2 linked regions of the Neurospora crassa OR74A genome follow. The protein of the gene in region 2 purifies or fractionates together with the protein of the main gene of each other region. This does not show direct contact. Links are inferred from orthologs where the notes say so. Each region holds a gene or a part of one and is shown on either strand. Other genes may lie near its edges.

What was found. Proteins that work in one complex are often made in the same cells at the same time.
Region 1: the proteins of arg-3 (region 2) and arg-2 purify together in Saccharomyces cerevisiae (affinity purification with mass spectrometry, with the first as the bait; 3 studies listed by BioGRID). This does not show direct contact. The link is inferred for Neurospora crassa OR74A from reciprocal best matches to the Saccharomyces cerevisiae genes CPA2 and CPA1.

The regions. Positions count from the first base shown.
Region 1 is NC_026504.1:2,059,941-2,063,920, reverse strand, and holds arg-2 (carbamoyl-phosphate synthase small subunit), read right to left. Parts: upstream 2,804-3,980; 5' UTR 2,573-2,803; intron 2,206-2,572; 5' UTR 2,193-2,205; exon of another isoform or gene 2,117-2,192; 5' UTR 2,025-2,116; coding exon 1,845-2,024; intron 1,789-1,844; coding exon 607-1,788; 3' UTR 195-606; downstream 1-194. UniProt on the Saccharomyces cerevisiae protein: Small subunit of the arginine-specific carbamoyl phosphate synthase (CPSase).
Region 2 is NC_026501.1:3,168,793-3,173,034, forward strand, and holds the start of arg-3 (carbamoyl-phosphate synthase large subunit), read left to right. Parts: upstream 1-1,442; 5' UTR 1,443-2,045; coding exon 2,046-2,385; intron 2,386-2,483; coding exon 2,484-4,242. UniProt on the Saccharomyces cerevisiae protein: Large subunit of the arginine-specific carbamoyl phosphate synthase (CPSase).

The DNA of each region.
Region 1 (3,980 bases), on a different chromosome or scaffold from region 2:
AGCATTAGTATAAAAGCATTCCACTTGTTCGTATATGATTTTGGAGTCGTATCCGACGAAGAATAACTACTTTCTGTTCTAAGATACCTGCCATCTACTAAGACGACGCTGATTTGTTTGATAATAGTTTGAAATCAAGACCAGGGAAAACCAGGTGTCACAGAACCAGAGGCTGCCCTGCTTACCAGTCAATGACACCATGTTCCCCGGCAACCAGTGCTTATACAGCACGCTGTCAACATAACCCCTGAATGTTGAAGGGCACCGAATTAGGGGAGGTACTGGACTGGAAGACATACGGCAATCACCAGGAATGGGTAAAATACAACGACTGGAAGACGTTTAGACGTGATAGCACATGGGTATGTATCAACTAGATATTGTCCTCTCTGCGCCATATCAGCCTAATGCCGACTAAACTTATCTGATTCTGCATTCAAAAGTAGTAACAAAAGATATCATATACACCCTAAACCATTAATAACGAGAGGACGTCGCCCAAGAAAGTCCCTTTTACAAAACCCATATCCTTTGTGCTGGAAAACAATAACCCAAGACCAATGACAAACACCGTTCACTAAGAAAATGCAAAGACATTCTCGTCGCTTAAGCAGCGTTAGAAAGAGGAGTGGGCTCAACGCCGACACGCTCCTTGCTGAGAATGTCAATCATGAACTGAGTAGGCCTGTTGTCACGGTAGACCTGGGAGTTGCTCTTGAAAAGCTCGACATTCTCCATGTACTTGTCAAAGAGGTAGGAAGAGTCCATGGGACCACCCTTAGCCTCGGGGTGGAACTGGGTAGAGAAGATGGGGCGGGTCTTGTGCATCATACCCTCGTTGGAGCCGTCGTTAAGGTTGACGAAATACTCCTTGAAGTCGCTAGGGAGGGTGCTGATATCGACGGCGTAACCGTGGTTCTGCGAGGTGATGTGGCACTGACCAGTGGTCAAGTCAAGAGCCGGGATGTTGTGGGCACGGTTACCATACTTGAGCTTGATGGTCTTGGCACCAACAGCGAGAGCAAGAAGCTGGTGACCAAGGCAGATACCCATGATGGGAATAGGGGAAGTCTCCATAAGCTTGGCGAGGTTGTAAACAGTCTCCTGGCAGTGGGTGGGATCACCAGGGCCGTTGGAAATGAAGACACCATCGAAGTTCTCGGCAACCTTGTGGATGGGGTAATTGTAGGGGAAGACGGTGACGGAGGCGCCACGGCTGACCAAGCTACGAAGGATGTTCTCCTTGACACCGCAGTCGATCAGAGCGACGTGGAACTTGGCGTTGGGGTTGGTAACCACAAAGGGAGCCTTGGTGGACACGCGCTTGACAAGGTTGATCTGGCCAGGGTCAATGAAGCCCTCATCCTCATCGGCGTCGTACTCGTCGCCAATGGAGATCCTGGCGAGAGAGGAACCCTGCTCACGGAGGTAGGTGACAATCGCACGAGTGTCAACACCGGAGATGGCGGGAATGCCCTCGCTGGCGCACCACTCGCCCAAGCTCTGAACAGCAGTCCAGTGGCTGTACTGGGTAGCGACATCGGAGACAACGATACCGGCGCACTGGATGTGGGGAGACTCGAAGTACTTGAGGAGGTTGAACTCGTCACGCTCATTCGAAGGGACACCGTAGTTGCCAATCAAGGGCTGGGTGAAGACCAAAATCTGGCCGCGGTACGAGGGATCGGTCATCGACTCGGGGTAACCAACAAGGGAGGTGGTGAAAACGGCTTCACCAGAAATGTTGGTGTTGGCACCGAAGGCGGTACCCTGGAAAACGGGGCCATCCTGAGCGAGAAAATGTTAGGTTTAGCCACGAGAGAAGACTAGTTGTAGGTACGCACCCTGATAGTGAAGGTGGCCTCGGCGCCGGTGGCAGCGGCAGTAGTGCGCGGCTCACGGGCGGGCATGTTCCTGCCCTTGCTGCCGGTAATGGCGGGCTGGCTCAGGTTGCGAACCTGACGGGCGGCGACGCCATTGAGGGCAGAAGCCTTGGGGAGACGAGCGGCCAAGCGAGAGAACATCTTGACTTGAATGGTGATGGGGTGCGGTGGTGATTGGTACGGCTGCTGGGTGATGAGAGGCTCTTATGCGTTAAGGGCTCTCCACAGATGGTCTGTAACACACAAAATTCATCGTCAGTATTCCAGCCGGAAAAGGGTGAGTCAACGGGAGTCGGCGGGGATGCGGACCTGAGAGGTAATCCTACAAAGGCAACAGAATTAGTTTTGATCAGACACTACAAACAGACGGCAAGCGGCAGAAGCGAGGAGAAGAAGTCTCCCCCAGGATGGCTGTCTGCGCGATCTTGAGAGATATGCAATCGGAATCCGTGAAGAGCTGAACTTTGGGGATCACCGCTGGCCACATCTCCCAAAACCAACTCAGAGCGGCATGATGCCAAGCACCCAGGTTGGTGGGTTACTGGCGGGTCGTCCCAACTACTCCGATACAGCATCGCGAGTCAGGCTGGTATGGGGGCTTCATTGCTCATCCGGGGGAACTTCTTTGATGGACTGGGTGGATGGTGGCTGGATACCAGCACGATGGAGGGGCTATCGCGTTATCGTACCTGAGAGGTGAAGACTGACGGGCGCCCGTTCATAAGGGCAGATTGCGACAAGACAAGTTCAGCTGAAGAAAGAAGGTTGGACGAAAGAGTCCGAAAGTCGGGGGAAGCGATTGGGGTTATTGTGTGTTTTGTAGATGGGCAAGAGTTGATGACGGAGTGAGTTGTAGTGTCGAGGGGAGAAACTTGGAGATAAAAGAGGGTGCGAAAGTGGGTGAGGCAAATAGAAAAAGGGCGACATTTGATTGGATCTGGTAGAATTTTTTGAGCTCTTTGTCTTTTTTCTGCCGCAGTGACAGGGTCAGCGCCGACCTGATTGGTCCAGGACTCGGTGACTCCCGCTGCTAGCGAGTCCCAAAGGCCGATTTACGGGGACCGAGGGGTGATTGATCGCGGCGTTGGGATGACTGGGGACCTGGACTTCGTTGGGACGCTGCAAGTTCCACATGCCCTTTGACCATCACGGTTACCACCCCTACTAGTCCCGGAGCCTCACAACTGGAATCACCCATCCGGTGTTCAACATACCTACTATGTACTACGTACACTACACATCGCAACCTATGCCCACAACCCCAGCCACGACATTCACAAACAACGCGACTCCAGCTCGGCATCTCCTGCCCGGGGCACCCCCAACGAATCTCGGAGTTGGAGTGGTCGGGTCCCGCAAAGCCCCCGCAAAGTCCCCGCCTACCTACCGCCGCAGATAAAGATGGTGGATACCCCGCGCTTTCGGTGACTCAAGTTGCGGGGACTTGTACAGTCGCGATTCGCCTCGCTTTCAAGCTTCTGAAGCTCCAAACCCAGGTTGCGCCAGAGCCGGCCGTCGTAATCGGCTGCACGGACAACGGAGGCCGCACGCTGACAGAAGAGGGAACAATCAAATATAGCGTCTGGATCCAGCATATACTCTCGGCGACAGCACACCAATTGAAGAGAGACATCGTCACCACCTTGTCAAGCCACGTAAGTAGCATTTTTGCGGTAGTGGTACCTTACAGCAGCCGAGCACCAATACGTGGGGGATAACAGGCTCCCACACGTCACATTGCATTTGATACATCGCGTAGCATCTGGATGTTGGGCATTACCATTTCAGACGGATTCAGCTTACTCGACCGAGTACGCAATATCAAAGCAGAGACCACCAGGACACCTGGCGAGGTTTTCATCATTGAAAACCGCAAGACAGGACAAGACACAAAACATAGCTCTTCGTACTGTTGCGCTTAACGCGACACATCTTGCGACGAAGTTGGTGCCAATGTGGCCGGCTCAAGCCTCTTTCATCTCAACCGGCCAGCTTGTCGTAGAAGCATGCATGAATAAACTGAAGCTCCAGGCCCCGGGCCGTCACGGTCCCCATGAGACATTGTGACGCCCTTACCGGCTATCAGAAGAGCATGTC
Region 2 (4,242 bases):
AAGGGACCACAACAGCGAAGGGGAGGGTTGGAGGGGATGCACGCAGCGGCCTGTGCTCATTGGCATGCCAAGACCGACCAGCTGGCTGAGTTCCGGTCCCCGCTGTCGGCCGGGCTTGGGCCGGTGCCGTGGCTTTCGTTCGCCGGAATCCACGCACTTGAGCCCGGAAGCCGCGGGCGGAGGAGGACGGGCCTGGACTCCCATGGTGCAACCGTGAACCTGAGTGGGGGTTACCCCCGCTCCATCAGAGCCCCGGCCTGGGCGCTTGGGGTGACAGACTTGACATCATGGGTGTCTCCAGAAAGGGGAATGTGAAATTTGGTTTGGAGATGGACATTCGCAGTCGATGTCCAGTTTTGTATCTGAGTCACAGCTCAGGATGGACAGTACATAGTGTTCTTCCAATGAGAGGTCTCGACTTACACAAGTGGAAGCTCAAGGGTCTGCCAGGAACCACACTTCCAAACTCCATGTGCGCCCATCCCCCATGTTCATTCACGGCGTGAGTGAAGAAGGAATAAGCTTGCGGATTCTGGAATACTAGTAGTACACCATAGGCCCCCGAAGTACTGTGAGATCATAGGATGGGGTGAGTAATTTGACTTGTGAGCTAGCAGAGCTGATATTAGTGTAGTAAGGTTCCAGTGCTACAGCCGTCGAAACCCGGTCCATGAGTCAAAGTCGCAGGCGGCTTTACTGGCATTGGGAATACAGCGAAGGATCTGAGCTCTTTCGGGAGCAGGCGGATTTGAGCTCTTTCGGGAGCTGGCCGAGGAGAAAATGTCAAGAGGTCAGCATCGGCGAGGCGCTTCGAATTGACTCAGCCGCATGGACACGTCAAAAGCGAGAGATTGATTTTGAAGATCACCAACAAGACCGGCATCGAGGCGTCAACTATCGCCGAATAGACTGGGGCCGCGATGACTCAGCCAATCATGAAACGCGTGAATTTCCTCTCCCCGCCAAAAAGTCGCAGCTCGAAGGGCAATTGGCCAATAACATGTCAGTTACGGCCAATTCAGCCAGTTTCACCGCCAAGGTACATAGTAGTCAAAAATTTGGCGGGGTTTGGGCGTCCAAAAGACAAACCAAACTCGGAGGTTGGAGGTCGTGGGTACCTACTAACCATTGACTCGGTACTAGCCGTCTCCAGTGCCGTCCCGGGAGCTTGTGCCTGTTTTGGGGCCATGGCGTGCATGAGCGAACATCGGACAAACGCTCAACCGACTTCAGATGACACATAGAGCCTGGGGAATAGTAGTGATGTTGTTAGATAGACCGCGCCCGACATGTTGTTATTTTGGCAGGCAAAGTGGCTAGGTAACGAGAAAGTCTCAAGTCTGCCACAAGACACTGATCTAGGATCGCCAGTAGGTGAGCTTAAAATCGGATAAGAATGGGAGGGGGATCTGGCAAGATGCGATGACTGCCCATGCGAGCATCGCAGATCCATGTACATATGCCAGTCAGGTCCCGCACTTCTCGACCGCAGAGGATTCCGGGTCCGCTTCCGTTGTCGGAAGCTACCCAAGCTGGCCCGCGGCCTATCTTGAAAATTTTCCAACAATCCGTCGTCACTTGTTCCCAACCCGCCAGTGCCCGCCATTGCCCCCGGCAAAGGGTGGCGGATGCGCAGAAGAGCGACTCCATTCAGGGCCTCATCGTCGATTGTTCTGTTTGGTGAAAGAGCAAAAGAGTCACAGCCGCCCACCAACAAATCTGGAACCCACCCTGCCGCCGGCCCCGCACATCTCTTATCGGCGCTCCCCACAGCGGCCGGTTTTGGGAATTATTTGTCTCTCTTGTCCCTCTTTCCGTCCAACTTCTCCAGTTTCTTCTCCACTGAAATTAAAAGCGCGAAATTCCGAAAACACGGACGGGAGACTCGAGATTGAGTCAACTGGTCAGGATCCGGGGTCAACAGCTACGTCGTTGTCAGGACTTGTTTGTTGATATACAAGACATCGGCCCCCCGAGACCCTCACGAGGCCTTTCTTGGTCTTTCTTTAATTTTCTTCCACAAACACCTCCCTCCATTGGACATAATGCTGTCGACCGTGCACAAGGCTGGCCGAGCTCCTGCTCTCCTCCGCCATGGTCGGCGGGTTCCCGTCCAGGCGTCCCAATTGAGGGCTCTCACCTCCGGCGCCCAGAATACCTCCATCTTCCAGACACAGGCCAACGCCGCCCAGAGGCTGTCCTCCCAGAAGAGGTGGCTCTCTGCCTCCGCTGCCGCGGCTGCTGCCAGCCAGCCCGCCCCCGACGCGAAGGCTTATATCCAGAGCGGCGTTGTCAAGCCCCGCGACCATGTCGACGTCAAGAAGGTGCTTGTCATCGGCTCCGGTGGTCTTGCCATTGGCCAGGCCGGCGAGTTTGACTACTCCGGTACGTCTAATGTCTTGTCGACTCAGTGAAACCAGACACAAAACAAACAAACAAATAAACAAACAAACAGCAGTGCTGACTCTACTCTACCCATCCAGGTTCTCAGGCGCTCAAGGCCCTTAAGGAGGCCGGCGTTGCTTCCGTGTTGATCAACCCCAACATCGCTACCATCCAGACCAACCATTCCCTCGCCGATGAGGTCTACTACCTCCCCGTCACCCCCGAGTATGTCGAGTATGTCATCCAGAGGGAGAAGCCCGATGGTATCTTCCTGTCCTTCGGTGGTCAGACCGCTCTCAACTTGGGTGTCCAGATGCAGAAGCTTGGCCTCTTCGAGAAGTACGGTGTCAAGGTTCTCGGTACCAGTGTCAGGACACTGGAGCTTTCTGAGGACAGAGATCTCTTCGCCAAGGCCCTTGAGGAGATCAACATCCCCATTGCCAAGTCCTTCGCTGTGAACACCGTCGACGAGGCCCTCGACGCTGCCAACAAGATTGGCTACCCTATCATCGTCCGCGCTGCCTACGCCCTTGGTGGTCTCGGTTCCGGTTTCGCCAACAACGAGGAGGAGCTCCGCAACATGGCTGCTCGCTCCCTCACCCTCTCCCCCCAGATCTTGGTCGAGAAGTCTCTCAAGGGCTGGAAGGAAGTTGAGTACGAGGTCGTTCGTGATGCCAACAACAACTGCATTACTGTGTGCAATATGGAGAACTTCGACCCTCTCGGTATCCACACTGGTGACTCTATCGTTGTTGCTCCTTCCCAGACCCTCAGCGACGAGGAGTATCACATGCTCCGTTCCGCTGCCATCAAGATCGTCCGTCACTTGGGCGTCGTTGGTGAATGCAACGTCCAGTACGCTCTTCAGCCCGATGGCTTGGACTACCGTGTCATTGAGGTCAACGCCCGTCTCTCCCGCTCGTCTGCCCTCGCCTCCAAGGCTACCGGCTACCCCCTGGCTTACACTGCCGCCAAGATCGGTCTCGGCCACAGCCTTCCCGAGCTCCCCAACGCTGTCACCAAGACCACCACCGCCAACTTCGAGCCTTCTCTTGACTACATCGTTACCAAGATTCCCAGGTGGGATCTGTCCAAGTTCCAGCACGTTAAGCGCGATATCGGCTCTGCCATGAAGTCAGTTGGTGAAGTTATGGCTATCGGCCGTACCTTCGAGGAGTCTTTCCAGAAGGCTATCCGCCAGGTTGACCCCCGCTTCGTCGGTTTCCAGGGTGACAAGTTCGAGGATCTCGATTTCGAGCTCCAGAACCCTACTGACCGCCGTTGGTTGGCTGTCGGTCAGGCCATGCTCCATGAGAACTACTCCGTTGACAGGGTCCACGAGCTCTCCAAGATCGACAAGTGGTTCCTCTACAAGCTCCAGAACATCGTCGACTGCCAGAAGGAGATGCAACAGCTTGGCAGCCTCGAGGCCCTCAAGAAGGAGCACATCCTCAAGGCCAAGAAGCTCGGTTTCTCCGATAAGCAGATCGCCATGGCCGTCAACAGCACCGAGGATCTTGTCCGCGCTGCCAGAAAGGGGTTCGGTATTAGGCCCTGGGTTAAGAAGATTGATACTCTGGCCGCCGAGTTCCCTGCCGACACCAACTACCTCTACACCACTTACAACGCCTCTTCCCACGACGTCACCTTCGAGGACAAGGGTACTGTCATTCTCGGCAGCGGTGTCTACCGTATCGGTTCCTCGGTCGAGTTCGATTGGTGCGCTGTCAGCGCCACTCAGGCCCTGAGGGCTATGGGCGAGAAGACTGTCATGATTAACTACAACCCCGAGACCTACTCGACCGATTTCGATACCGCTGATAAGCTTTACTTCGAGGAGCTTAGCTACGAGCGTGT